Linked DNA regions of Sus scrofa. The protein of the gene in region 7 interacts with the protein of the main gene of each other region in a pairwise test. Links are inferred from orthologs where the notes say so. Each region holds a gene or a part of one and is shown on either strand. Other genes may lie near its edges.

Region 1 (3,550 bases), on a different chromosome or scaffold from region 7:
AAGGCACAGAGAGGTTAAGCAGCTTGCTAGGACACTCTTGGGGGCTGGGCTTCCCGTCCCCTGGTCCCCTGAGGGCGGGGGCAGGGTGCTCCCTCCCCCTCCCCCCGCGGCAGGGAGTGGGCTCCGCACTGACCGTCGATGATCAGCGAGGCTCTCTGGGTGGGTTTCTTCCCAGACTTGACGCGGTTCTCATTGATTGCGCTTTCAATCTCTTGCAACTTCTTCAGTGCGTTCAGATAGGAGGTTTTCCTCTGCTTCTTGAGTTTTTTGCTGACGTTAGGGTCACTGGCCAGGCGGCGGGCAGCCTCTGTAATCTGGGACTGAATGGCAAACTCCCGCTCCAGGCGTTCCAGCTCGGCTTCCTGTGGGAGGGAGGGCAGAGGGCACACTTAGCGGGATGCTAGGGCGGGTGACACCAGTCTTCCCCCTCCACCCGTCCCGCTACTAGCGGGCCTTAGTCCTGGGAGACCCTGGCCCCGCCCTGCCCTGCAGTGGCCCCGCCCCTCCAATCCGGGCAGCTGGTTCCCTGGACACGCCCACTTTCGGGACTTCAAGCCAAGTTCCAGGTGGGTCCAGGGATGGGCGCCATCACCGAGAAGCAGAACTTCCTTGCTGCAGGCCTTGGGGTCACGGGGGTTCACTTCCAAGATCTCCAGCAAGGTTCTCCAACACCCAGCCTTCCTGGAGATCCAGAGCCCCCCGGGTGGGCATTTCCTTTCCATCTGCGGCAGCACTCTTTTTAGCTTGGTCTTTGTCTTGCTCTTCCTGAGTTTGCTAAGGAGGGGCTCACATGGGCACATCTCCCCAAACACAGGGCCCATCTGTCACACTTTGAGCCCTTCAGGCTGGGCATCAGCCCCTTCTCACGCCTCCTTGGGCAGCTCCTTTCGCCCAACGCCAGCTGTCCACTCACCTTTGGCTCTACATAGAACCTCTGCTGGGTTATTACTACCAGCCGCGCGGGAGTGTGGACGGAGGGCAGCAGAGCCTGGGCAGGAGGGCTCCCCTGCTCATGGGCGGTCCTTCCTCTCCTTTGTGCTTCCCTCCTTCCTGTACCCCTTACTCTGGCCAAAAGGAGCACATGGATGAATTTTCCCTCGGAGTTTTGGACCTGGGAGAAATGCAGCTGTGGGCACCAGAAGATGCCAGGTGGACCCAGAGCATGACAGTGGGGATCACGCCTTGGCGGCTGGCTTCTCTGCAACTCAGCCAGTGCCTCTCCCCAACACCGACCAGTGAGGCCAGGGGAGCCCAAGCATGCACCTTGCTCTGGGGGATCCACCATCTGGCTAAAGCCTGCAAAGAACTGATCTGACCATAGAAGCACAGATCACCAGGTTTGCTGGCATCAAGAAAGCTTCCTCATTAAGGCTGAATGAACCACCTTGCTCTGGTGGCACCACGTGTCAGGCTGGGTGCCTCCATCAAGCACAAAGCTCTGAGCTGGGGGGCACTTCCTGTAGACACTTCTAGAGCCTGAGGTGGGGGCAGGGGTGAGAGGGAAAGGGGAGGATTAAAGGAACTATTGAGGGGCCAACAGCCTCGCCAGTTCCTTCAAGTGGCCGTTGAATTTCTCCTTCTCTGGACAAGAAGAGAGATGGACTCCCGCCCGGGGCCTTTGAGACAAACAAGCCACTGAGGACAAAGACCGCTCTGTAAGTGACTCTGCCTCACAGCTGCTCCTGGGCAGTCAGGCCAGCCCTGGCCCAGGACACTGACCCGAGGTTTTGAGGGCACCCGGGACAAATCCTTGCTACTTAAATGGAGCCAGGGACAAGGGTGGTGGCCCATCTGCACAGATGGCTACCTGCTGTGTGAATCAGGAGGCCAAGGGCACTCCCAGGAGAAGCAGGGATTCCCAACAGTGAATGCGGGGGCTGGTGGGGATGGCAGGGGTGCAGTGGGATTCCGGGGGAGCCAAAGTCATCGCTTACTGGAATGTGCGAAGGAGGCACCATGAAAAGGCCTGGTGTGACCGTGGGAAGAGAGGAACACAGGTGGGGGGGTGCTCACTCAAGTGGGGTCTCCCTGGGAAAGTGTATTACAGGTGTCTCCCAGCACAAGAGGAGGAGGAGCTTCCGGGCAATCCTGATGACGGCTGGGTTAGAAAATGACTCCTCAAGATGGTCTTTGAAACCCCACCAGCCCACAGCCCACTTCTGACCCCAAAAAAATCCCAGCCCAGCACCTGTCTGCTAACAAGTCCTTGTGTCTACTGAGCATCCGCAGGTGTCAAGTGCCGAGTTAAATTTCCGGGCACTGGCTCCCTTAATCCTAGTGACAGTCCACAGAGAGGAGGGTCCGGAGCTTGACTTTACAGCAGATGGAAAGAGCCTTCAAACCAGGATGCAGCAGGAGGTGGGGGACCTGCTTACAGATCTCAGGACACTAACGCCCCCTCCATTGATGCCGGGGCACGTGTGTTTTTCTTGGAACCCACCCTCACACTCACCCACCGCACGGTTCTGTGAGAACCGTGGCGTCTCTCACTTTTTATTTATTTTTTTATTTTGTTATTTATTTAGCTTTTTGGGGCCACACCTGCGGCATATGGAGGTTCCCAGGCTGGGGTCCAATTGGAGCTGCAGCTGCCGACCTACACCACAGCAATGGCAACTCGGGATCGGAGCCGCGTCTGCAACCTACACCGCAGCTCACAGCAATGCCGGATCCTTAACCCACTGAGCAAGGCCAGGGATCGAACCCACAACCTCATCGTTCCTAGTTGGATTCGTTAACCACTGAGCCACAGCGGGAACTCCTTTATTTTTTACTTTTTTGGCCATGTTTGCAGCATGGGGACATTCCTGGGCCAGGGACTGAACTTGTGCCACTGCAGTAACAACGCTGGATTCTTAACCTGCTGTGCCACCAGGGAACTCCACTCTCACTTTTTTAAAGGGACTAAACACTCAGAATATCCCCTTGTCCACTGGCTTAAATTCCTTCCCTTTTCAGCCCCCTGTTCGATAGCATTTTAATGAGTAACTGTATTCGGCATAAATTAGGAAAGACATTTCCTGGACACACCCCTGGGGTCTGTAGTGTGCCTGGCCTTGAATTGCTCTCGGTCTGAGACTGGATAACTTATTAACCAGATGGAGACCCAAGGCTCTGCTCCGGCCCAGATCTGCACGCTCCGCTTCTAGTCCCTGCCAATGTTTAGTCCTAAGACAGTAAAGTGAGGGGTGCTGCACCAGCCTCTCTGAACGCAGACGAGGGAGGCCAGGCATCTTGCTCATGCCCTGGAGGTGATCTGAGGAGAACCTCTGGGGGCAGGCCTGACGGTCTCCCAGCCAAGGGCATCCTGGCACCTGCTGACATGGCTGCCATTTTCTTTCTTTTTGGGTTCTTTTCTTTTTCTTTCTTATGGCTGCTCCTGCGGCATATGGAAGTTTCTGGACTAGGGGTCAAATCAGAGCTGCAGCTGCCACAGTCACACCGGATCCTTAACCCACTTGATCGAGGCCAGTGATTGAACCCACATCCTCATGGACACTATGTCAGGTTCTTAACCCACCCGAGCCACAACGGGAACTCCTTTTTTGGG
Region 2 (4,157 bases), on a different chromosome or scaffold from region 7:
CCACTTTGCCAAGCAGAAAAAGCCCACAAACATTAGAGACTCTGTAGCCCAGAGCTAGCCGCAGTGCTGCAGCAGAGAGGAGAGCCGTCAGAGAAGGGAGCAGGGGTTGGGCTTGCAGAGATTAGCCTCTCCCACCCTCATTCTTTCCTCACCTTCCCAGACATCCCGAAGCGGCTTCCTCCACTAATTCCTCAGTCAGTTTCCCATACCCTGGGCTCCAAAGGGAGCTAGAGGAAGAGAAAAGAGTGGGGGATTTCTTTCCCTTGTGGGGACCCTCAAGGCGCTCCTCAAAATCACTTCTCCTCTAGCCCTCATCCTCCTGAATGAGAAATGAATAGAAAGGCTGGGCAGACGAGCTCCCAGGATGCTGCCTGAGACAAAATGGCCCCCATAAGCACTTACCTTGGTGTGAGAGATTGACAGGAGGGACTAGGGTAAGGGAAGATACAGAGTGAGACAAAGGTACAGCCCTGCAAATATCAGGCAAAACGGATCAAGAAGGACCAGCTGTGGCGTAAGATAGGATCTGAGTTGGCAGGGGCCCTGGGTCTCTCTTCATCTCTCTTCCCTCCTGCTTTCACCAAGTCTCTCCTATTTAACTGAGCAAATTAGACAGATCAACACAACTCCCAACAACACCCAGAGAGGGATGGCCCAGAGAGCCTAAAGGAGATGGTTCAGATTTACCCAGATTTAAGTCAAGGAAGATAGACTTAAAAGTGGAAGCCTTTTGTGGATTTGCTCCTCCATAACCACCTTGCTTCTATTTTCTCAAGCTTTATGGGGGGCCCTCAAGCTCTTACTTTCACAGCTAATGCCTGCTGTCCAGACTCTTCAGAGAAGAGGCCCCAGGGGTTGATCCAGGCATTCTTTTAGCCTGGCTAGACAGACCAGACTGCAAGGTCTATGGCCCTTGAGACAAAGAGAGACAGGGGCCCTCTCTATGTGAAAAAAAACACACATACACAGCACATGCACAAGGCAAAAGCACTCATTTGAGTTCACAGTGTGGGTGAGAGAGCCTGGTGACAAACTAGAGCCCCTGGGGACAAGACATGTAAGCAAATCTCTTCCTACAGCCTGTTTACTCGAAGTCCCATTCTCACTGGTTCAGAAGGCCCAGACTCCCTTCCCTTTTTTCCTTCATCCTTTTCACAAGCATTCCCTGCGCCCAGCACTGTGGATCAAAAATACATAAGATGTGCCCCTGACCTTGAGGACGGCCCTTATATGGGCCCTTCTCAAACTGGCTACAGTTTCCTGGCCCAGCACCCCTCAAGCCCTACTAGACTTGACCCCAGACCCTTTCATCCCATAGCCTGACAGTCCCTACCAACTTAGGAGAGGAGGGGAAGGTGAGGAACTCCCTAGGAATTCCTTTGGAGTCATCCCAGATAAAAGTCCAGAATGGAAATCTGTGGAGGCAATGTGATATACAGAAGGAGAGACATAAGCTTTGGAATTACAGATTTAGGTTCATATCCATGAATTAGCAGTGTGACCTTGAGAAAGTCAGTTGACTTCTTTGGGCCTCAATTGCCTCATCTGTAAAATGGAAATATTAATACCTTCTTCAGAGCGTTGTTTTAAGGATTAAACAATATATGCAGCATAATGAGCCCACAGAAAACACTATTGCTCCTTCTTAATAACGTCTCTTCTGTGGATAGGGGTTGTCATGATGAGGTAGAGGAGGTGGCTTGCCACTTTTTATTGGATTATCAAGAGATAGGATGAATAAGCAACTACTTGTTAGGATAACAGGTTTGGTTATTTTTATTTGTTAGGGTGAATCGGCGCGTCTGAAATCCTCCTCCTACTGTACCTGGGAGGGAAAGGCAGACATTTCCTTAGGACTCAGAGGCTCCTCCATCAAGCTGGGTGTGGCATCAATGTATTTCTTTCTCCGAAAACCTTTTCTCAGATCCCTGCCCTCCCCCCAAGTCCAGGCTGTAACTACTTCAAGGGATGATGGAGGCCGGGGTCCTGGAGTCCACTTTCATTTACACCTCCGCAGAGACCTTGGACTGCCCATCCCCCACCTAGCCCACCCACTAGTCTTCCCCTCCCTCCCTGGGTGTTGGAGGGTAGAGATCTGAGCCAATAACAAAGGGAAGATGCTCTTTCCCTAGGGAAGAGGGAAAACATCAGAAAAACACGGGACTGGCTCTAGGGGTGGGGACGCTGCAGAGAGCAGCAAAGGGGCGTTGGGTGCATTGATCGTGGGAAGGCAGCCCCCTCCCACTCTGCGGAGACTCGGCCGCCGGCCTGGCCAGGCCACACCCAGCCATCCTGATGCAGGGAGAGGAGGGGCTGCGGCGAAAAGGATGGAGGATGAGCAGCGGAGAGGGGGCGCAGAGACAGGCAGGAGCTAGGGCTCTGCGGAGTAAAAGATTCAGCCTCCCCGTCCCCTCTCCGAAATTCCCTCCGGGGGCGGCACTCACCCCAATAACGACGCTGTCGTCCCCTTGGAAAATGGGGATGAACTTGTCCCCCCGCAGAATCTCGGCCTGGTTCAGGGGCCGAAATCGGCAGAGCACCTTGATGCTACATTCGTTGTTGGTCTCCGCCATGGTGGTCGCCGGCGTGAGGCTGGGGCACTTCTTCGGCTGCAGGGGTCGCGAGTGCTCCGGCGGAGAGGGGCTCAGCTGAGGCCGAGGCGGAGGACAGGTGCTCGGTCTCTGAGGCTCAGGGAGCTGTGGCGGGTGACCAGGCTAACGCTAAGGAGCAGGGCTGGGCCACGCTTCCTCTCTCCTGCTGCACGGGGGATGCGGGCGACCTGGAGGTCTGGTCCTCTCTGGGCGCTCTGCCTCTCGGTCCCTCGCGCTGCAGCGCTGCGCTGCGGGCCTGGGCGGGGCGGCGATGGAGGAGCGGGGCGGGGCTTCCTTCGCTGGGGGGTGCTGCTCCGCGGCGCCCACCACCCAAGCGAGGCACCTGCGCTGTCATCGCGCCTCCTCGCCCCACCCCTAACGCTTGCTCGATTACCCTGTCCTCACCCCTTCCCCACCCAAGTCACTCTCTGCCTTCCACCCCCCACATGCCTGACCCGTCTGTCCCTCACCCCGGCCTCCACCCCCTGGAAGGGCTAAGGAGTCTGAGGTGGGCCTGTCTTCTGTCCCAGGAAGAGTCAACTGTGCTTCCATCTCCTTCATTCCAAGGCATCCTTCACCCTCATCACAGTCCTCGCTCCAAACTGGGAGCACAAAAACCCTCGCAAAGATTCCCAACCCACTGAACCTTCAAGGGCAGCTGCCTGTACCCCTATGGAAGGAAGTGCGTGTTCAAGTCCCATTTTTCAGGGTGTCAGGGGAGTTCTCCCCTTTCCCCTTCTGCGTGCAAAGATGCACTCTACTCTCTCCCCAACATACACACCAGGACCCCAATTGGAAGGAAGACAAACTCCCATTCTGTTATCAGAATTCAAAAGCAGATAAGACTCTCATTTTTTCTTCCTAGGTTGGGGCTGAGAAGGAGGTGGGCCAAGAGTAACTTTTGCAAGAAGTGAGGAACAAAGCAGTGATGGAGGAGGACTTTAGGAGTGGGTAAGGCCAGAGGGGCTTTGAGAAAGGATTTCTAGGGCAGACATCTGCATTTGGGCTTCAGGCAGGTTTAGGCACCTACGTGAGTGTGTTTCCTGTCCCAGAACTGTTGGACAGAGTCCCAACACCCCAAGCCCCTTTTCAGGCTTTTTTTTTTTTTTCCCTCTGTTTCTTCTCTTTCCCTGGCCAAAAAAAAAAAAAAAAAAAAAATGCCAAGCCTTTCTTGTCCTTCCTCCCTTTGGATCAGACTCGTGCTGCAGACCCTGGGCAGAACCACCTAGAAGCTGGCTGGATTGATTTTTCTCCACGTCACAGGGCCTCTGCTGGCCAACAGAGTTAGACTGCAGGAATTGAGGCTCTAGGCCAAGGGGAGGAGCAGGGTGATGGGAGAAGGGAGGAGGGGATGGAGGTTCTGCCTAGCAATTGTCTGGTAAGTTTTTAAGGTCACTTAGACACCATGAGGAAAGGATGAGAGAATGATGGCCTGGCCAGATAAGACCTAATCACTCAGAATGCAACCGAGGGTGTTTCCTGAGTTGAACATATGCCCCTAACCCACCTTGAATCTTAAGGAAATTGAAGAAAAGGGGTTCTGCATAAGAAACTGGATAGGAAGGC
Region 3 (4,107 bases), on a different chromosome or scaffold from region 7:
TGACTTTAAGGCTATGGAAGTTTTGTTCATTAATCTTAATTCATATTGATTCATATTCAGGTGAATATTGTACGTAAAGGGTGTTTTAAAATACCGTAAGGAAATAGAAAATAAGCTATTTTTTATGTTTTCAAGAAAGGCTCGCTCACACTCATGAATTTGTTGGAAAACAGTGCTTCTTAATTATATACCATTATAATTATTAGATATGTGCAAGCCTTGTATATTAAATGTTAGAATTTGTTAAGGCACATATTGCTAACAGAGTTTTATTTTAATAAGGTCATATTGTTTTTACTATATTTAAACATTCATTTCTAAATGGAGCACATAATTATATATAGATCACTAGAATTTTACTCTGCTTTTTGTTGGCTACCACAGCTTGGGAAAGAAAGAGATGAACATTAATGACCATCTAGTGGAGTTTTTTTGTAGTACATTACTCTTTGCTACATCTATCAACAGTAGTACAAGGTGGTACTTCAAAATAACTGCATCATCATTAGAAAAATAAAAAGCATGACTGTGCGAAGCACTTAAATGGTAAGATGATGTAGTCTGCCACTTGAGTATCAGTTACGTTAGCAGTGTGTTAAATGACTTATGCACGTTATTTAATACTAAGGACACCTATATAACGCATAAACATTATTACTCCCAATTAACAGTTACAAAACTGAGAATCAACATTGAAGTGCTTGAACAAGATCACCGGGCCAGTAAGTGGGCGGATCAGATTTTAGACCTTGAGAAACTAGTCAGTCGAGCTAACTGGAGGTCCTGAGGCTAAAGGCCAAGGTGGCCCACTAATAATTGTTAAAATTTAATTTAGTTTATTCTAGAGACAGCCCTTGCTCTGAGACAGGGACCCCCTAGTGGCTCCGTTTAAAGTCACAATAAGCTTAGGCCCCGCCTCTTTGCGCAGCGCGGGCGTACTTCCTCCTGCTGCTCACCGACTTTTCTTCGCCCCGCTCCGCCCCTGCTCGGTTTCCTTCGCGGCAGCCTTCACTTGCCTGCGACTGTGTCGCCCAGCGTGACGTCACGGGCCTTGGCCCTTATCATTGGTCCATTTCAATAGTCGCGGGCTACTTGAACTGCAGGAACAGCTGCCGCTCCGGCGGGCTGCTCGCTTCATTCCGGGGGCGTCCTTGACCCTGCACGCCCGGCAGCGCCTGCCTCCGGCTTTTGCAACCTCCTTGGTCCTGCACGATCCTGAGCAGGCGGGCGGGCAGGCTGGCCCGGGCTGTGGCGGGTAGGTAGGGCAGGAGTGTTCCTCGGCGGGTCGGCGGGACGCAGTGCACGCTGCTTGGCGCCGCAGGCTGATCCCGTCGCGCCCCCGGGAGCAGTGATGTTGGGCAGCTCCGCGCCCGGGCCTGTGGCCCGCGAGGCGGGCTCGGCGTTGCTAACATTGCAGCAGACGGCGCTCCAAGAGGACCAAGAGAACATCAACCCCGAGAAGGCTGCGGCCGCCCAGCAGCCCCGGACCCGGGCTGGGCTGGCGGTACTGAAGGCCGGGAACTCACGGGGTCCAGCGCTGCAGCAGAGGCCTAAGACGCGACGGGTAAATGAGTTATTATCTGGAGGAGGGTGGGCCAAGCGGGAGTTTTGCATGGGTTTGGACCGCAGAGGAGAGTGGCGAGGTAGCATCTCCTGGGGTTTTTTCGGGAGGCCAGTGTCGGGGGTCCCTTTGACCTCTGGTTTTCTCGAGTGTGGGATGCCACATTACCCCCATTCCTTTCTCCCATTAGTCTCCCTGCCAGCACTATGCGTTTATGTTGCCTGTCTGCTCTATGGAGAGTATTTTGCTATAGACAATAATGGTCAAACCAAATCCTCCGACGTTGAGTATGTGTTAAGTACGGTCTTTGCCGCCTCCGCGCCTTTCTCTCAGCTTTTAGGCCCCAGGCATTGCCCGGACCTCCTTCATGCTACCCACATAATTAAGAGATTACCTCTACTTTAGAAAAAGGTATAAAAAATACTTTGCTTTTGGACAATTCCGCCATCTTACCGAATTTGCTCTGTTGCTCCACCCTGGGGCGAAAGAGGTAAACCACTTTTTTGCCATTTCTCCTAAATTTGGCATCTTTTGGCCTGCCCCACCACCTATCTTAGCCCTGATTATTTTTGTGTAATCCGTTAGTGTGACTCTAAAACCTCTGCAGGAACGCATACTCAAATTTCCTTGCCTGAATTTTGCCCCATAAAGTTTAATTTTCCTGATAGAGTATTTGGAAGTAAATGCAGTATAAGGGGATGAAAGCCAAATTCCATTTAATAGACTCAAAGCCAGTTATTTATTTTTAGGTTGCGCCTCTTAAGGATCTTCCTATAAATGATGAGCATGTCACTGTTCCTCCTTGGAAAGCAAACAGTAAACAACCTGCATTTACCATTCATGTGGATGAAGCAGAAGAAGAGACTCAAAAGAGGCCAGCTGAATCTAAAAAACCAGAAAGTGAAGATGTCCTGGCTTTTAATTCAGCTGTTACTTTACCTGGACCAAGAAAACCACTGGTACCTCTTGATTACCCAATGGATGGTAGTTTTGGTAAGTTTTAAAGAATATCTGTATCAAATAAATGTAATCATAATTATTGCATAGGTAAGTTTAGAAAGGCTGTGACTTATTTCAGGCCTCACAGTTTATCCATGACCTAGTGACCTACAAAAGGATCTTAATCCTATACTCTCTGGTACACTATTAATCACATCAGTTTTATTAGATCTCAAACACTTACTTTAATCTGACCCTGGACATGTTGCTTGATTGGGAGAATATATTTCAATTGTATTCTTAAGATTCACTTTGTATATACCATTTCAAAGAGTGCTATTTGAGGATGTAGTTTAAATATTGTGATCAGGAGTTCCCGTTGTGGCGCAGCGGAAACGAATCCGACTAGGAACCATGAGGTTTCGCGTTCAATCCCTGGCCTTGCTCAGTGGGTTAAGGATCCAGTGTTGCCATGAGCTGTGGTGTAGGTCGCAGATGTGGCTTGGATCCCACGTTGCTATGGCTCTGGCGTAGGTTGGCAGCTACATCTCTGATTAGACCCCTACCTGGGAACCTCCGTATGCAGTCCGGTGAGGCCCTAAAAAGACAAAAGACAAAAAATAAATGTTGTGATCAACATCTCTTCCAGCTTTAAACTTTTGTTTAAAAGCAGTCTGAGTGATTGACTGACACCAGGGAGGGACATGGTTATCCTGTGAGTCACAGTTGAACTATGCTTTTTTGTACATTACCACATATAATAGATGGGCTCACTAAATCTAGTATATTTTAGTTCTGTCAATGAGAGGTATAGCAGGGAAGTCCTTTGAAAATAAAATAATTTGTGTACTTTTATTTAAAATGTACAGGAGTTCCCTTGCGGCTCAGTGGGTTAAGGATCTGGTGTTGCCATGTTGTGACTGGTTACAGCTGTGGGAGGGTTCCATCTCTGGCCTGGTAGTTGCCACATGCCCTAAAAAGACCAAAAAAAAAAGAAAAAAGTAAAATTTACAACAAATTTTAACCTCAGATTAAACCTTGAAGTAAAAACATTAATAGCTGATACTTTTTGCCTCCAAAGATAATCTAAATTTACAACAAAGAATCTCCCCTTGATTGTAGTGTTAATAGGTTGGAACTGCCCATAACAAATATAATTCTCTTTAGCACACATTAGCCTTCTAGTTACCGTCTAGATTGTGCTTTGAATACGTCAGACTTTGGGGTCTGTAAGCTCCCTTATGACAAATCCTAGGTATTACCTCAAAACTTGATTTTAACTTATTCTGACAGAACCGTTGTACTCCTGTCATGGGAGATGAAGGATACTTTAACAAAATATCTTTTCCTCAAATTCTTTTTCCTGTTAATGGCTTATCAGTATTTTTTTTTTTTTCTTGTTAAAATCATTCCAAAGCTAGGTGGACAGAGGTACGAAAATCAGAGTGAAATCCTCTATGTATTTTGTCATAAGAAGCTCTTTTTAGTTGGATAAAATAAATGCTTTGGTAGTATGGGACTCCTTACAAGGACAATCACTTTTAGCTTTAATTAGATAGAAAATTAAAAGTAACTTAATCTTATTTCTTAATTCTCCTAGAGTCACC
Region 4 (3,550 bases), on a different chromosome or scaffold from region 7:
TCTAGACTTCCGAAATAATCCTACCAAGGAAGACTTGGGAAAGCTGCAACCATTGGTGGCATCTTATCTCTGCTCCGATGTAACATCTGTTCCCTCAAAGGAATCGTTGAAATTGCAAGGTGTCTTCAGCAAGCAGACAGTACTTAAATCTCACCCTCTCTTATCTCAGTCCTATGAACTCCGAGCTGAGCTGTTGGGGAGACAGCCAGTTTTGGAGTTTTCCTTAGAAAATCTTAGAACCATGAATACAAGTGGTCAGACAGCTCTGCCACAAGCACCTGTAAATGGATTGGCAAAGAAATTGACTAAAAGTTCAACACATTCTGATCATGACAATTCCAGTCCCCTTAATGGGGGAAAACGAGCTTTCACTTCATCTTCTCTTCAGGGAGGTGAAGTGGTGGCATCTGAGTCTGGGGACTTGAAGGGGGGTATGACCAATTGCACTCTTCCACATAGAAGCCTTGATGTAGAACACACAACTATATTTAGCAATAATAGCACTGCAAACAAATCTTCTATAAATTCCATGGAACAGTCGGCACTTCAAGGAAGCAGTAGGTTATCACCTGACACAGACTCTAGTTCTAACTTGGGGAGTGTCAAGTTAGAGGGTAAAAAGTCTCCCCTGTCTTCCATTCTTTTCAGTGCTTTAGATTCTGACAAAAGGATAACAGCTTTACTGAGGCGGCAGGCTGATATTGAGAGCCGTGCCCGCAGGTTACAGAAGCGCTTACAGGTTGTGCAAGCCAAGCAGGTGGAGAGGCACATACAGCATCAGCTGGGTGGATTTTTAGAGAAAACTTTGAGCAAACTGCCAAACTTAGAATCCCTGAGGCCCCGGAGCCAGTTGATGCTGACTCGAAAGGCTGAAGCTGCATTGAGAAAAGCTGCCAGTGAGACGGCCACTTCAGAAGGACTCAGCAACTTCCTGAAAAGTGATTTGGTTTCGGAAGAATTGGAGAGATTTACAGCCAGTGGTATAGCCAACTTGAGGTGCAGTGAACGAGCATTTGATTCAGACGTCACTGACAGTAGTTCCGGAGGAGAGTCTGATGTCGAAGAGGAAGAATTGACCAGAGCGGATCCTGAGCAGCGCCATGTACCCCTGTGAGTAGAATGATGCCTAATGTTCTTGAGAAATGCTGGGGCAAGGGAGAAAAACCTGATGTATTCCCATCGTGGAAAGAAAGGGGCTCTTTGCCTAGGTTCCGTTTGTCTTTTTCTTTTCTTAATTTTTTGGTAGGTGGGTTCACATAGACCTGCTAGTGAAGAAATGGAGGATGGTTTTGGTATAGTGTTGTCTTGCTGTAGGCTAAAAGCTGCTAATTTCCCATTGAAATCTTATTAAGAAAAAACTAGAAGGCATCTAGTTTGAAACTGTACTCATCCTTTCAGAGGGAATAGATTTCTTTTGAAACTATTCATAGGATATTTTTGTAAGTTTCTAAGGCTTGACTTCAGATTTTGTTGTTTTTACTAAGTGGGGCCAAAAGTTTAGTTGACCTGGTTAAGTTCACTGGAATTTATAGTTGCTTTTAGTTGAGCTTTCAGTAGAGAATGTACCCAAGTGTTCACTTGAGATTTCTTTATGTTTTAAGGACTAATAAGAAGAAGATACTTCAGAGGTTTATGGACTAATAATAAGAAAATGCTTTATAGGTTGCCTCCAAGCACCATATGCTTTCACAATTTGATTCTCTTCCTAAAAGAAATCATCTTTGTCAGATTTGGATTTTATTTTCTCTGAGCTCCAGTTAAATATATTGACAAATTTGGGATAAATTCTTACTAGTTTTTCAAAATCTGCTGATTGAGAAAAGTTGTCCATAAGCTTTGTGTAGTACTCCAGGTGGGCCTGGTTGAGCCAGAGGTACTTTACTTTTGTTCTTCCCTCCTGATCCTGCAGTGGGCTCTTTATAGATAAACAAGAAAGTACAGTGTACCTCCTTAAAGATAAACCAGTCTACATTTATCTTGACTTATGAGAGAGGGAAACCAGAGTGGTTGGAAAAGAGGGACAGGAGAGTTGACTCCAGTAGATCCCCTTTCATTTCCTCTTTGGGTAGGGATGTTGTAAAGGTTAATTACTAGAGAAAACTGAAATAAGTGGATACATTGGAAAAATTGGCTTTCCTTTGCCTTTAAAGGTGACTAATATTTTCACTGGAGACTTTGTTGAGATAGCTATCCTTTTAATTTTAAGCATAAGTAGGTAGCCTTTTTTCTCTGTTTTGCATATGTTATTTCACATGGATAACACTGTATCTGAGTATGAATTTTGGTTTGTGTTTCTAAGGGAAAAAGTGGATAATTTTGCTGAATTTTTTCCTTGTGGCCCAAGTTCCATTACCATTTGTTAGATGACTGGGCTCAAGAATCCACTTTTCTTTCTTTTTTTTTTTTTTTTTTTTTTTGGACTTTTTGCCTTTTCTAGGGCCACTTCCTGTGGCATATGAAGAATCCACTTTTCTATTCAGGTTTAAAGCAAGTGTATTTCAGAACCTTGGTACTGCTATAACATAGTTACCTTTCCTTAAATGGATTAGTGCCTTAAAAAAGCTTGCTAGTATTTGTGGCATTATCCCCACTGACTTTCCTGCATAAACCATTGCTGTAAGAAATCTTGGTTAACAGTTGAATATTTTGTGTTAAAGAGTAATTTTCTGTAACATACTGTAGTTGAAGCATTTTAGGCTTAGTGTATTTATTTTGTCTGAGGAAGAAAAACATCCAGAATCTATAAGCTTATTGTTTCCAGGATACATTGTATTGAAAACATTGTTTTGATAATGTTGTGAGTAACTGTTCCAACCCAGTGTAATCAAAATACCTGAGAGAACTTTGCTTATTTCATGAGATAGTCTAGTGATTTGAAAAGACCTTTTAGTCCATTCATTTACTTAGTTTTGGGCATTCTTCTAACTTAATGGTTTGTTGATTGGAAGGCTGTGAATTATAAGGACAGCTAAGGGATCTTTTTAGGAAACTTTTTGGGATCAGTTGAATTCTCTTACAATGAAGTCAACTAAATCATGCTTTAAAGTAAGGACAGTTTGTGCACTAAAAGTACTGTCAAATAAATACACTTTTTGTACATTATGGTATAATTGAATTTAAATTAATTAACAGTAAAGTGTAAATACTTGTAAGTTCTTCATAAGCAGGATCACCAGACTGACTCCTAAGGCTGTTATTTAGCTAGGTATTTGTTCACCTTCTGAGTATTCTAAAGATTTTCTGCAATTGGCCAATGAGAGAGTGGAGGCATTGGTTTGATTGAAAAAAGGAAAAAATGGGAAATTGTTCTTTGGATGCTGAGAAGCCTTTTCTTTGTGATTTAAGAGTCCCTCCCAAGTCTCATTAATCACATTTATAATTCTTGAGTCCTGGAGTAAGAAGTTAGTTAACTATTCAGGAGCCTGACCCAGCTGGTGAATTTCAACTTTTTTCTTCTTCCAGTAGCCTGTTCATATTTCACTCCTTTGCTAAAGTACTTCTGCCAGAGATAAAGTCGCTAGATTTAGTCTGAGCATCCCTGATGAAAATA
Region 5 (4,106 bases), on a different chromosome or scaffold from region 7:
GCCTGGGAACCTCCATATGCAGCGGGAGTGGCTCAAGAAAACGAAAAAAGACAAGAAAAAAAAAAAAAAAAAAAAGGTGAAAGTTCCTTTTGTGGAAAAATGTCCAGCCCTTCTCTCACCACTAATAAAGCATTGGCAGACTACATTGCATAAATGACTCCTCTAACTACCAGCCACTTCAGTCACCGTTTAGATGCTCACTCAGGTCAGAATCTTATTTCTACAGAAATTTGTTTAGGAATTAAGTAAATCAACAAAAATAAAATATTCTGATATAAGCATATAGTAACACCTTGAAGCTAGATATAGTATACCTTTTGTTTTATACAAATTTTTTACTAAGAATAAATACATGTGAAAGTTTAAACAAAAAAAGCTACTCACCACCATCCCTCTCTCTAACTCTGTGAATATGCACGTTTTTGGCCTTACTGTGACCTGTACTGTCACTGTATTTGTTTTCAGGACTATCAGATCTCCGCAACATTTTATTTGGTGGTGAAGGATCTGCGGCGTCTCGCATTTTTTCATGTCTGTGATCACCACTACTGGGGTGACTCTTCGATGAATACTTAAGTGCCTGTAAAACATCACCCCCCCAAAGAAAGAAAGAATTGACATCTTAAACTTTCTAAATTAATTTCATTACAAAATTTGGTATATAATTTATGTTTTATGAGTTTAGATCAATAAAACTAAAATTTCCTCTTTCAGGTCTACCTTTAAGTTTTACAGACAATACCTAAATGCCTAAGAGTTACTATAAGGCTCCTCAAGTTGTAATACCTTATGTTAAAAAAAAAAAACCCATTCATTATCTTATAAATACAAGAAATCAAACAAATTATCTTATAAATACAAGAAATCAAACATGTTGGGACATTCACTTCTCAATAAATTTTTCTGGAAATTAAAAAGTTTAAAGAAAAGCAGAGTCAGAGTACTACTGTAATTTGTTTCTGCTCTAAAACTGAAATGCATATAAATAAGTATAAACATGTTTCTGCAAACCAACAAAAAAAAAGGGAGAGAGAACCCATCAGGTTTTCCAATTCTTGGATTTAAGCAAAGCATTTCAGACCTAACAACTACTCTTGCAGGTGGCAGAAACAATATTAAGGTATAAAAATGCTGACTGATATTTCTGACATTATCTTAGTGGAACTTAATGGAACTCCCTCGCAATAATCTAGCATATGTAGACATCTTTAACGTATTTAAGACAATGATGATGTAGCAGTCTCTTAAAATGTGTGATTAATTAAATTTCAGAGGGCCTGATTCAACAGGGTTTAATCTTTTAACACATTACAGAGGACCTAGGGTTTTTTTTTTTTTTTTAACTTGAGCTTTAACAACCCATGGTAGTCAGGAACAGATGTAACAGCCTAGAAACCTGATGTAGAAAGTATTTACTTCTAGGGTCCTCTGAGTTACCAACCATTATCCCCACCCCACCCCCACGACGGCCCGGACAAGTGGGGCCACGTCTATCATAATTTTTTGAAATTTTAGATGCAGTGACTGCAACAACAAAGAGGAACCTATGTACCTAGAACCGTCTACATTAGAATGAATTACCCAAGTATCCAAAGACCTCAATTCCTATAGAAACAAAAGCGCCATCTTTCATTAGTAAGGCACTTAACTGCACCAAAAACAAATTAGGAAGGGGTAGTGGTTTACAAAACACTTCAGAGCTGCCAATCAATTAGTGGCTTCTTCCCTGGCCTTCCACCTCATTTCCGTCGCTTCACCTTAACTTTTAGTTCCCCAACACACATAAAGCCGGCTGAGAAATCCCCTATTACCTCGCCCCACCAATCCCCTCACATACAAATAATCGAGTCAGGTCGTTCTTAGCCGAGAACGACTTTTCCTAAAAAAGCCTGACCACCCCCCCGGTCACCTGTCAAAAATCAGTCTCGAGGGCCCGTCGGGCGCCGAGCTCGGGGCCCGGGGGGCCCGCGACGCCCGGGTGGGCTCCGGGGCCCCGAAGGGCCTGCAGCGACTCGCGAAGCCTGCGCTCGAGTAGCAGTTCCTCCCCCGCCCGCCCAGCCCGCCCGCCGCCCGGCCCTCCGCCGCCTCGCGGGTACCTGGTAAGGCTGCGAGTCCCCCCTCCGGTCGTGACAGCTGAAAACAGGAAGAGAGGCGACATGAGACGCGGGCACGGCCCGGCCCCCGCGGAACCCCGCGCCGCCCCGCGCTCCCGCGAATGCCCGGTCGGGCCCCGCGCGCTCACACGCACGCACACGCGCTCACTCGCGCTCACACTCACACGCGCGCCCGCCCGCCTGCACTCGCCCGCCGCCCGCCGCCGCCCGCGCGGCCGCTCCCCCCGGCAGAGCCCGAGCAGGGTTAACAACAAAAATGGCGGCGCGGCCGGCCCCAGATAAGGAGGCGCCCCCCCGCCGCCCGCCCGCAGCCCGGCCCGAAACGAAAAGACGATTTACCCATCACTGAGTCTCTGCTGTTTCCTCGCATACATTACCATCAATGCCCGGCCTGTGAGCGTGTGTCGGGGAGGGGGGACAGCGGCCGCGAGGCGGGCGGCGGGCGCGCAGGCGGCGGGCGGCGGCCTCCGGCGGCACAGGGCCCGGCGCGCCCCGACGACGCTCAGCACCTCCCCGTTACTGGCGCCGGCGCTCCCGGGCCATCTCCCTCCGCCCGCACCACGCTCTCGCTCAGCCGGGCAGCGGCGAACCGGGGGGAGGGGGCAAGAAGACGCGTCCGGCTCGGCCCGCGGAGAGCGACTGCCCCCTCCGCCTTCTCCCCCTCCCTCTCCGTCGCCTCCGCCCCTCCTCCCCCCGCCGCCACCGCCGCCGCTCGGGTCCTTCTCCTCCTCCTCCTCCTCCTGCCGCCGCCGCCGCTGGTGCCGCCGCTGCCGCTCCACCAACTACATCCGGGCAACTCGGCCTCTGCGGCCTTCGGAAGCCCTCGGCAGTTTCCGCCGCGCCCCTCCTCTCCCACCCTCGCGCGGCTCCGGAACGCCGCCTTCGGCAAACCTCGGCTCACCCCGGCCCTCCTCTTCCTCCGAGGCCTGGCTAGCCTCCTCGCGCGCGTCAGCTCTTTCCGGTTGCCGCCACAGAACCCCAGCGTACGTCCGGCCGCCACCGTTCCAGTTTAGGGGTCGTCGGGCTCGGGGAGCCGCCCGAGGCTGGTCGTAGGGGCCCTGGGGCGCGCGGGGAGGGCGGCGCCTTGGGGAGGAGGCTGGTGGGGCGCTCGAGGAGCCATCGCGGACTAAATAAGGGCGGCGGCGGCGGCTGCGCGTGCGCCCAGCGGCGCGGGGGCGGGGGCGCCCTCGGGGAGAGCGCGGGCCTGGTGCTTCGGCGGCCCCGGGCTTGCGGCGGGGTCGCCGGGGGGACGCCCCTCAGGCCTGCTCTTAGGAGCCGAAGTCGGGCCGGGGCGCCGTACGCGGGCAGGGCCCGGAGCTGGGCCTTCGGCTTCGTGAAAGTAAGTCTCACCCGGAAGCGTGCTCGAGCGAGCCTCAGCAAGGGGGGCGCGGGGCCTGCACCCCCAGAGGAAGAGCGAGGGCCGCTCGGCCTTTGGGTTAAAACGACCGAGCCTGGGACGCACGGGTGGGGTTACTTGGGAAAAGAATCGAGGCGCTTCCGCATCCTTGCTCCTAACGTTTCCTCCCCTACCCCCTCCTTCCTTTATTTCCCGTTTTTCTCTCTTTCCGTTCCTTTTCGCTCAAATGCAGTCATCTGGAGGTTCTGCGCGGCTTAGGGAGAGCTTAATGAAATCTCCGCAAACTACATTTTATAGACTGTTCCAGGCCCTATAGGAACATTTGCACATTGGGAGGGGAAAAATCAAGTATCACCACCCCCAAATTAGGGCTTTACTTGAGGGCACTGGTATTCAGATGGTTTTCTTTTTCTGCTCTAAACTTGTACGGCAACATTGAGTGAAAAAGATGATGATAAAGTACACAGCCGTTTACCTGGAAGAAAAAAGCTAAATAGGAAACAAGTCAGAAGAAACAAGATCCCTCCAAAAAACTTATTTATTTGGTATACAACCAGTTGCATTATTTGTGGCATAGTGAAGATACGGAATCATGTGAGGAAAAGGCCCTGAAATCACCACTGATCGAAAAAATA
Region 6 (4,211 bases), on a different chromosome or scaffold from region 7:
ACAGATGATAGGACCAGAGCCTATTCCAGCAGTGGTGCCATTTTCTCAGCTGCACAAGGCAGACTCTGGGGAAGGGCCGAAGCTGAAACACACACACACAAAAGAAACACCCAAAAATGGGCAAAGGAAGCCAGGTGGGAAATGGGTATGGCTAGACCTGTGTCTTTCATGCCACTGATGACTTTTATCAATACACAGATCCTGAGCAGGTCCAAAACACTGAGAAGCAACTACAGAATATATTCTAATGGAATATATTCTAATTATAAGGCACCTCAGAACTCAAAGCAAGCGAAAGCTTTTTTCTAAAGGTCCTTATTTGCTCTTCAACAACAAAAAATTTACTATATTAATCAAATGAAATCTTCATTTCAGAAATATATAGATTCCCAACTAGACTAATGCTTTTCCCCATCAAACAACCAATACTAAAAAAAAAAAAAAAAAAAAAAAAAAAAAAATCATGAACTGAATGTTTTCACTTAAAACTGCACCTTCTCAAATGCTGAGAAAGCACGTCCATTTTGTACCCACAGCATGGTCATTCCGCCCAGCAGTTTCTGAGAAAGGGACAAAGAAGTGTGCCAGGATGTGTAAAATGAAATCACCATTATCTATGAAATGCAATTTCCTCATTCAAGAGCTTAAATTTATTTCAGTTAGGTGTGGTTACATGTAACACACACTCATACACCAAATCTCAGCAGCAGCACTGAAAAAGACACTATTTAAAAATGATCCAAAATATATTTAGGAAACAACTAGGGTGATACGTTTGACCTTCCTTGAACCCATTTTTGTGGTTATTGTTGTTAGGACTGTGCAACCCCTGATTTCCTTTAATATGGACTGGAGAGGGGATGGAGAAAGGGGGCGGGGGGAGGTGAAAAGTGCCTAATCCAGAATGTACGATTTCTCGGTATCTTAAAGTATTAATAATCTTTTTTTTTTTTTTCTCCACCAAGACCTTGGAGAGTCAACAGAAAGAAAAAAAGGGGGGAGGGATTCAAAGACAAGGTTTCAGGGCTGACCCAAGGCAAGGCCTCCACAATGGGAGGTTCTGAGCACAGAGGCAGCCCAGCTGGGAGTTGAAGGCTGCAGCATTACCGACAGCGAGCTCAGGCCCTGCCCTCCGCATCCAGGGTGCCTCTGCCTTGCGCATGTCCCACTTATATAAAGAGATGCTTACAGTCCAAGTGCTTTTTCTTAGGGCCCATCACTTCATGAGTGGTGGCTTTGCAGACCGCTCTAGCTACAGCGGAGCCTGTCACGCTGTACTGAGCGGCAGCGATCCGATCCGTGAGCGTTTGGCCCGACATCTTCTCCGGCCGCGTCTACCGCCTCCTCTTCTGCGGGAAAGAAGGGGAGACGGTCCTGCTTTGAGCCGCAGACTCTACCCTCAGAACACCCAGACCTTGCCTCCTCCAGCCGCACAGCGGCTCTCTTCCCCGTCCCCGCCCTGGTACCTTGGGCGACCGGGTCTGGGGAGGTCTTGAGCAAGACTCTAGGACCGTCACGGAACCTCAGTGCGGGCTCCGGTCCCAGCATCGTGACAATGTCCCCGACCGATCCCGCCCCACCCCCCGTGCTGCTTGCCTCACCCCTCCGCGCACCCCAGTCCATCAGCACTTTCCCTGCTACCTTGATCTCCGGGTGCCAGACCAGCCCCCGCGAGCGTCGGGGTTATTCCCTGGGCGCCGCGCCTGCCAAGCGCCCACCTCGCGCTTCCTAGCCGCACCGTTTCCTCCTAGAATGGATTGGATACCCAAGCCCTGGCCGCCTCCCTCCTCCTTCTTGCGCTCCTGCAGCAATGAGCTCGTCCTCCCTCGGTCGCGGCGATTATCCTAGCGTTGCGCCATGTTACGCGCTCACCTCCCTTTCCTTCCCCGCCGCGGTCTCCAAAGCCCGGCCGAGGCCCTTCGTCCAGGTCCCCTCCCCTCGCCCCCAAATCCCTGCTGCAGGGGCCGCCCGGGAGCTCTGCGGAGGCGCCGGAGTCTCAGGGCCCCTCGCCCTTCCTGACGGCGGAGCAGAGACAGGCTGACAGCCCAGCCCCCGCCGGCACTCCGGCGCGCCGCGGAGCTGTCACCCGGCTGCTGCCCTTCTCCCCGCCCTAGGATTATCCTCTCCGGATCCTCGCGCGGCCCTAGCACCAGGAGGGGGGCCGAGCGGGGTCGCGAGTACTCACCCCGCCGCAGAATCAGGGGAGCCCGGGCCGCCGGGGGAAGTCGAGCCAGGTGGGTGTGTGCGGCCGCGCGCGGACCCGGTGCCCCGGGGCGCGACGCCCCCAGCCCTGGCCCGGCCCCCGCCCTCGCTCCGCGGTCTCTGCACCCGCACTCGTGGCCCCAGGAGCCAGCCGCACCCGCCCGCCGCCGCGTCTCTCCAGCACTCCGCGCTGCGTCCCCATCCCCGCCCCCACCTCAGCTGTGGCTGCTCCAAAGAGTCAGGTGACGGCGGCGGACAAACCCGGGCGAGCTCTCCGCCGAGCGCCTCGCGGCCCCCTCCCAGCTACTCACACACACCGTTCCCCGGAGCCGCGAGCTTACAGGCCGGGGGGCGCCGCACGCGAGCATCCCCGGCAGGCTCGAGGAGAGAAGGAGGCGGGGAGGCAGGGAGGCCGACACCTACCTAGCCAAGCACCCTCCTCGAGGTGCGCAAACGCCCCTCCGCTCCCTGGACCCGCACCCAGCACGACAGTGCGTGCGCGCGCACCGCGCACACCTGAGGGCTGCCTGCGGGATGCGCCCAGGGCGGCGGGGGCGTTGGCGCAGCCGGGAGAGTGAGCTTCTGGAGTTGTGTTCCGTGAAGGCCTGGGCTGGGGCGTCGTCGCTAGGTGCCTGGCAGAGCCCAGCCCCTCCTCCCCTACATCTGACTCGCCCGCCAGTGGAAAGCAGCCGATGCCCAGATAGGCAGGGCGATTTAAAATGTCAGATTCTGCTGGCCAACCGCGCCGTTACCTGGGGCGTCTTCCCTCAACTCCTTGGGGGTCTTTTACTTGGCCCTGTTATAGTTGGGAGCTGGGATAAGCATCGTATCCTAGTCACTTAACATTAAATGGATAGTGACCTCTACTACAAAGACAAATAATTAACAAAACCATCCATCGAGTCCCAGATCATATTTACAGTAATCATTTGGGTCTGTAAGGAAAACTCTTTGTACCTTTAAGTAATTACGGTCAATTAAATGTAGTGTTTGAGTGTCTTAGGTATTTGAATTGCGTACATGGATTTCTGCTCAGGGATTTGGCTAGGTTAATAGTTTCTCGTGTTGACATTTTCAAAGATTGTTATTTACCCTAACCTTAAAAATCTTTTGAATTCTCACAGTATAGTCAAGATCAGAACTTCATTTGTGAAAGTTCTTGGCTACAGGTGGACTCTATTAGGCCCTAAGGCTGTAAAATATCTACTTAGAGATGTCAAGGTTTTGTTGCTTACTCTCTATTACCTGACACAATGTTGAGTACAAAGTCATGACTTTGTAACTGTTGGGACTGATTCTAGAATTAATTAGAAGCATGACGACCTTTGCCAGGTTTCAAATGCTAGTTTTACCATAGCTAGCAATAGCACACCTAGATATTTAAACAAGAGAAATAAAAGAACACATTTCTGGAGTTCCCCCTATGGTGCAGTGGGTTAAGAAGGAAACTGTGGGGCTTCTGAGGGGAAGGGTTGGACCCCCAGCCTTGTGGCAACTGTGACACCCCTGGGCAGTAGCTGTGGTTCGCATTAGATCCCTGGCCTGGGAATTTCCATGTGCTGAAGATGTGGCCATTAAAGAAAAAAAGCCCAAACGCTACTTACTGTTGTGATTCTTTTATGTAACATTCTGAAAAAGGCAAAAACTATAGAGACAAAGCATGTCAGATGCCAAAAATGGGCAAAGAAACTGACTGCAGAGGGTCAGAAGATAACTTTTTGGAGGGATGGAAATGTTCTATATCATGGTTGTAATAGTTACACAACTGCATGTATTTCTCAAAATATCAATTTGTACACAAAATTGGTGAGTTTATTGTATGTAAATTATACCTCAATAAATCTGATTAAAAAAGAGCTTTTGGCAACATTATCAGACAGATCAGACTACACAATATGGAATATTAGGGAAGATTTCATAAAGATAAAAATTCCTCAAGCATGGGTAACAACCCTACATGTTTGTAAGTTGAGAAGAGCTTCAAAATGGACTGAAGCAAAAACTGATAG
Region 7 (4,264 bases):
GGCGTGATCAGTGGACCTGGCCGCAGGCAGCTCTGTCAACTGCTAACTCTCTTTTTGAGAAAACGCTTGAATTGGCTCGGGGATCTGTCTGTAAGCCCGTGTAACTAAAAGTTCAATTATAGTGAAGCTCTGCTATCTGTTACTAGTCTGCTTATTCTTAAAAGTCCCTTAAATTTAGCGGCATGACAGAAGTAGGCGGTCCCTGAGAACTTTTTGGTGCCTGTTCTGACGAGATAACGCGTCAGCCCTTGGCGCAGGTGGGGGGGCCTTTTTTTTTAGGGCCACACCCACAGCGTATGGAAGTTCCCAGGCTAGGGGTCGAATCGGAGCTGAAGCTGCCAGCCGACGCCACAGCACGGCAGCACGGAATTCAAGCTGTGCCTGCGACCTACATGACAGCTTGCAGCCACTCTGGATCCTTCACCCACCGAGCAAGGCCGGCGATCAAACTTGAATCCTCATGGATACTAGTTGGGTTCATTACCGCTGAGCCCCAGTGGGAACTCCTGTTGGCACTTCTTACATTTTGATTTAAGGTATTAGAAAGTATCTCCCCAGACATTTGCTTCCTTACAGAACCTGATTTTGCTTTATGTAGGATGGTTGAAAACTGTCACTGTTTTTGGTTATATTTTATTTTGTATTTATGTGCTTTAAAAACCTCAGGTGGGTTTTCCCGCTGTGGCCCAGCGGGTTAAGAACTCAGCTGTAGCAGCTGGAGGCTCAGGTTGCTGCGAGGTGGGGGTTTGATCCATGGCCTGGCGAAGTGGGTTAAAGGATCTGGTATTGCCACACGTGTGGCTCAGATTCATTCCCCAGCTCGGGAATTTCCATAGGCCATTGGGTGTGACCATAAAAAAAAATTTTTTTTTAATGGAAATAGGAGTTCCCATTGTGGCTGAGTGGGATAAGAACCTGACACAGCCTCCGTGAGGATGTGGGTTAGAGCCTGGCCTCGTTCATTGGGTTAGGGATCCAGTGTTACCGTGAGCTGTGGTCTAGGTCACGAATGCGGCTGTGGTGCCGGCCAGCAGCTGCAGCTCCGATTTGACTCCTGGCCCAGGAACCTCCATATGCTGCAGGTGCGGCTGTAAAAAGAAAAAGAAGAATACATATGAAAACCTAACGGGAGAGGTTATTTTTGACTTCAGCTTTCTCGGGTACATTCTAGACGTTTCCTAGCATTTAATCCAGGAACTCAAAGGCCTCCTGACTTGTCTTGAACAAGCGAGGCAGAGGGGCCGCCGCAGGAAGCCCTTGAAGCTGGAGCGCCTCTCCGGGAGGTGAGGGCCCGTGGGCTGTCGGCTCGGGGTGTTGCGGGCCCCGGGCTCAGCTCCCTGCCGTCCTCAGGCCTCTGCAGCATATGCGCCTTCAGGAATTCGAGCCCATTCCTTTAAGAAACATAAGCCTCCTTTGTGTAAAGTCCATGTTCGACTTTGCTTTTGGTTGTGGTGTGTGCATGCACGTAAGAAAAAGATTCCTCCCAGGCGTGCAGTTCTCCTCCCTTTATGTCGTTCTCCAAGAAGGGTTTGGTTTTTACCCTTTTTCTTGGGGTGCCGTGTTGTCGCTGTCTTTCACTGTTTTGGTCAGGGAGCAAAAACCCAAAGCGAGCAAGACGCTCACGAGCCCCTGGCTTTGTCTTCCCCAGCATCACGGACTGCGCCGTGGAGCCCTTGAAGGCGGAGCTGGCCGAGCTGGAGCAGCTGGTCAGAGACCAGCAGGACAAGATCCGCGCCGTGAAGGCCAGCATCCTGAGGAACGAAGAGAAAATCCGGAAAATGGTGCACAGCATCAACTTGAGTTCCCGACGGTGAAGGCACACGACGCCGAGGACTGAACGTCGCTGTCCTCGGTGTGCGAGTAAAGCGGAGAAGATAGGACGGCGTTTCCCCTGAGGTTTCGGGTTGGAGGCAGGGAGCGGGGTTCGCTGTTAGCCCGCTGACTTTCCGCGCCTGCAGCCCAGCTTATTCCGTGTCTGAGAAGACCGTGCCTGCCCACCTTCCTCTGGCTAGCGTGCTTGCCAGTTATAAAGAGCTCTGCAAAGCGCCCGTGCGAGAAGTGTCTTTACGGGCCTGTCCTGGTATTTCTGCGGCAGGCTGCTCTGTTCGGTTCTGTGCCGGGTCCTCTGGCGGGAAGCCCAGGGCGTAGGAGACCTTGACCTTGGACTCAGCCCAGGGAGGGCTCCTCTGCTGAGCGAAGGAGGCTGCACCTCCTGACGAGCACTTGCCAGGGAGGCCCGAAGAGGAACCCGTTGCATTTTCAGCTCATTTCCACTTGGAAAGGCTTCGGTTCCGCTCACGTCCTTAGAAGGTGCCTGTGGCCTTCTGTTTTCAGCCTCTTGGGAGCTGCATGCGCTGCTTCGTGTAATTTTCCTCTGGGTCTCTGCTCGCTCTGGCTTGTATTTCCAGCCCTGGCAGTTCACACACTTGGCAGGGAGCCCTCGGAGTGGCTTTCACGGCTGTCGTCTGCACGGGAGCTCGTCACAGGCCGTAGCCTCACTCTCCCCAGCATTTACCCTGGCCTCCCCCACGCACCTCCCAGCATAGCTGGAGGGAGTCCTCGGCCCTGCAGATGGGGGGCTGCTCGCCACCTGTTCCTTCCCACAGGCGCACACCTGTGCCCCGAGAGGCCGGGAGCTTGGGGGAAACTGCAAAAGGAAGATTGTAGCGGGGGCGGGTTTACTGAAGGTGTTGATGTTACCATTTTTTAAATTGTTTTTAAAAGCAGAAGGTTTTTTTTTAAAGCATCGTTTACGTGTAGTTTTCACCACATGTGCTGTTGTAAATGCTAAGGCCTGAGGTTTGCGGGTGAAGACTCCCCTGCCTGGAGACAGGGGTCCTCAGGTCTGGGACCTGACCCTTTGCCTCTAGATACCGCGTGTACCGCGCAAGCCAAGGAATTGCCTGAGGAAGCTTTGTTTCTTTAAAAGGTCAGCACAAAGGGCACAGGTAAGGTTTTCTTAGGGTAATTTCCAAGCTGGACCTGTTACAGGGAGGTCGTGTGATTTTCTGAGCTGAGTTCAAGATCAGCTTATTAAGATCTGGCATCTTGAAACACCGGTCCTTTCCCCGCTCTGCACGGCGCCTGGGATTCTGTTGGATCAGATGGCCCGACACCTGTCGTTGGGGGAGGGGAGGCGCGTCCGCTCCCGGCCTTCCCTCGCGTGTCCGTCCTCGGTCCCTGCGACGCGGCCGCAACCCCACGTGGGCCCTGTCTTGCCCCAGGTGAAGCTGTCTGCCTTTTCTCAGTCTGTACAGAAGAGTAGAGTTTTTGTGGCAAAAGAGTGCAGACCTTGTATGCGAGTAAAATTTTGTATGAAGTAGTTGATCAAATTGTATCATAAAATTTATTTTTCTTTTATACATAAATCATTACAAATAATCACCTATTTTTCTATAAGTGCATGGGTTGCAAGTTCGGTTCACACCTGGAAAAAGCATTTATAAGCGTTTGGATTGTTTAAATGTTAAAGTGTGTGCGGTTTGTTTTTCACTGAAGCAAGTTCAGGGAACTGTATCTTTTCATTCATATTGTGACAGCACTTTTCTGTATAAATGGAAGTTCCTTAGGGCAGATAAGCATTTATCAGAAACTTTAAGATCGCTCATGAAGTTTTAGAAAGATTCTGCATGAAGGTATTACTGTATCTTTTCAAAAATGAATTAAATTCCGATGTTATTTATTGTTTTGATAAAATACACCAATGGGATTATCACATGTTTTCCTCTGGTCTGTAAGTTTTCAGAAAGTACTGGATTCATACATCAGAAATTTTGACTTAAAGGGTGAGCTGATACTAATTTATATTTAAAGGAAATGTGTCAACTTTTGAAAAAAGTAGTTTAAAACTAAAATTCAAGCTTTCTGCTTTAGTATTCGTACAGACTTTTCTTTCCAGTAAGCAACTTAAAAAGAGGAGTGGCTGGAACCTACAAGGCGGGACGCTGTTCTTTCGTGACGCTAAGTGCAGGGTGGCGGGGGGTTGTCGGGAATCTGTCGAGTGACAAGCGCCCCGAAGGGTTCCCGGGCCTCTCTCCCTGCTGACGACGTGTACCTTCTGTTGACCCGCTCAGCGTCATGGCTCAGGGGCGAGAGGAGTGGGCAGCTTGTGTCACGGTCGCAGGCTCAGGACGACCGGTTTGCTGGAGCTCCCACAGGCGTCGGGTTCAGGACGAGGGCGCACAGAGCGCAGCGTGGAGGAGGGGTTTCTGCACAGACCGGGCCTCCCCCACCCCAGCACTGGGGTCCCCCACCCACCCCAAGG

Evidence for each region.
Region 1: the proteins of TRAF3IP1 (region 7) and FRMD4A interact in a two-hybrid assay, tested with the Homo sapiens proteins (2 studies listed by BioGRID and IntAct). The link is inferred for Sus scrofa from reciprocal best matches to the Homo sapiens genes TRAF3IP1 and FRMD4A.
Region 2: the proteins of TRAF3IP1 (region 7) and KIF5A interact in a two-hybrid assay, tested with the Homo sapiens proteins (2 studies listed by IntAct). The link is inferred for Sus scrofa from reciprocal best matches to the Homo sapiens genes TRAF3IP1 and KIF5A.
Region 3: the proteins of TRAF3IP1 (region 7) and CCNA2 interact in a two-hybrid assay, tested with the Homo sapiens proteins (2 studies listed by BioGRID and IntAct). The link is inferred for Sus scrofa from reciprocal best matches to the Homo sapiens genes TRAF3IP1 and CCNA2.
Region 4: the proteins of TRAF3IP1 (region 7) and KANSL1 interact in a two-hybrid assay, tested with the Homo sapiens proteins (2 studies listed by IntAct). The link is inferred for Sus scrofa from reciprocal best matches to the Homo sapiens genes TRAF3IP1 and KANSL1.
Region 5: the proteins of TRAF3IP1 (region 7) and WAC interact in a two-hybrid assay, tested with the Homo sapiens proteins (2 studies listed by BioGRID and IntAct). The link is inferred for Sus scrofa from reciprocal best matches to the Homo sapiens genes TRAF3IP1 and WAC.
Region 6: the proteins of TRAF3IP1 (region 7) and SNAP91 interact in a two-hybrid assay, tested with the Homo sapiens proteins (2 studies listed by BioGRID and IntAct). The link is inferred for Sus scrofa from reciprocal best matches to the Homo sapiens genes TRAF3IP1 and SNAP91.

What each region holds. Positions count from the first base shown.
Region 1 is NC_010452.4:48,015,800-48,019,349, reverse strand, and holds part of FRMD4A (FERM domain-containing protein 4A), read right to left. Parts: intron 363-3,550; coding exon 134-362; intron 1-133. UniProt on the Homo sapiens protein: Scaffolding protein that regulates epithelial cell polarity by connecting ARF6 activation with the PAR3 complex. Plays a redundant role with FRMD4B in epithelial polarization. May regulate MAPT secretion by activating ARF6-signaling.
Region 2 is NC_010447.5:22,815,553-22,819,709, reverse strand, and holds the start of KIF5A (kinesin heavy chain), read right to left. Parts: upstream 2,850-4,157; 5' UTR 2,574-2,849; coding exon 2,445-2,573; intron 1-2,444. UniProt on the Homo sapiens protein: Microtubule-dependent motor required for slow axonal transport of neurofilament proteins (NFH, NFM and NFL). Can induce formation of neurite-like membrane protrusions in non-neuronal cells in a ZFYVE27-dependent manner.
Region 3 is NC_010450.4:102,259,063-102,263,169, forward strand, and holds the start of CCNA2 (cyclin-A2), read left to right. Parts: upstream 1-1,283; 5' UTR 1,284-1,351; coding exon 1,352-1,564; intron 1,565-2,310; coding exon 2,311-2,554; intron 2,555-4,100; coding exon 4,101-4,107. UniProt on the Homo sapiens protein: Cyclin which controls both the G1/S and the G2/M transition phases of the cell cycle. Functions through the formation of specific serine/threonine protein kinase holoenzyme complexes with the cyclin-dependent protein kinases CDK1 or CDK2.
Region 4 is NC_010454.4:16,953,585-16,957,134, forward strand, and holds part of KANSL1 (KAT8 regulatory NSL complex subunit 1), read left to right. Parts: coding exon 1-1,110; intron 1,111-3,550. UniProt on the Homo sapiens protein: Non-catalytic component of the NSL histone acetyltransferase complex, a multiprotein complex that mediates histone H4 acetylation at 'Lys-5'- and 'Lys-8' (H4K5ac and H4K8ac) at transcription start sites and promotes transcription initiation.
Region 5 is NC_010452.4:39,931,735-39,935,840, reverse strand, and holds the start of WAC (WW domain-containing adapter protein with coiled-coil), read right to left. Parts: upstream 2,839-4,106; 5' UTR 2,739-2,838; coding exon of another isoform or gene 2,536-2,738; 5' UTR 2,504-2,535; coding exon of another isoform or gene 2,497-2,503; 5' UTR 2,495-2,496; coding exon 2,454-2,494; intron 2,134-2,453; coding exon 2,097-2,133; intron 599-2,096; coding exon 385-598; intron 1-384. Other genes in the region: uncharacterized protein LOC100621751, read left to right, coding at 2,497-2,503, 2,536-2,738, 3,049-3,453.
Region 6 is NC_010443.5:82,539,637-82,543,847, reverse strand, and holds the start of SNAP91 (clathrin coat assembly protein AP180), read right to left. Parts: upstream 2,837-4,211; 5' UTR 2,626-2,836; intron 2,591-2,625; exon of another isoform or gene 2,544-2,590; intron 2,441-2,543; exon of another isoform or gene 2,186-2,440; intron 2,041-2,185; exon of another isoform or gene 1,873-2,040; intron 1,832-1,872; exon of another isoform or gene 1,642-1,831; intron 1,350-1,641; 5' UTR 1,320-1,349; coding exon 1,190-1,319; intron 1-1,189. UniProt on the Homo sapiens protein: Adaptins are components of the adapter complexes which link clathrin to receptors in coated vesicles. Clathrin-associated protein complexes are believed to interact with the cytoplasmic tails of membrane proteins, leading to their selection and concentration.
Region 7 is NC_010457.5:137,908,609-137,912,872, forward strand, and holds the end of TRAF3IP1 (TRAF3-interacting protein 1), read left to right. Parts: intron 1-1,648; coding exon 1,649-1,814; 3' UTR 1,815-3,717; downstream 3,718-4,264.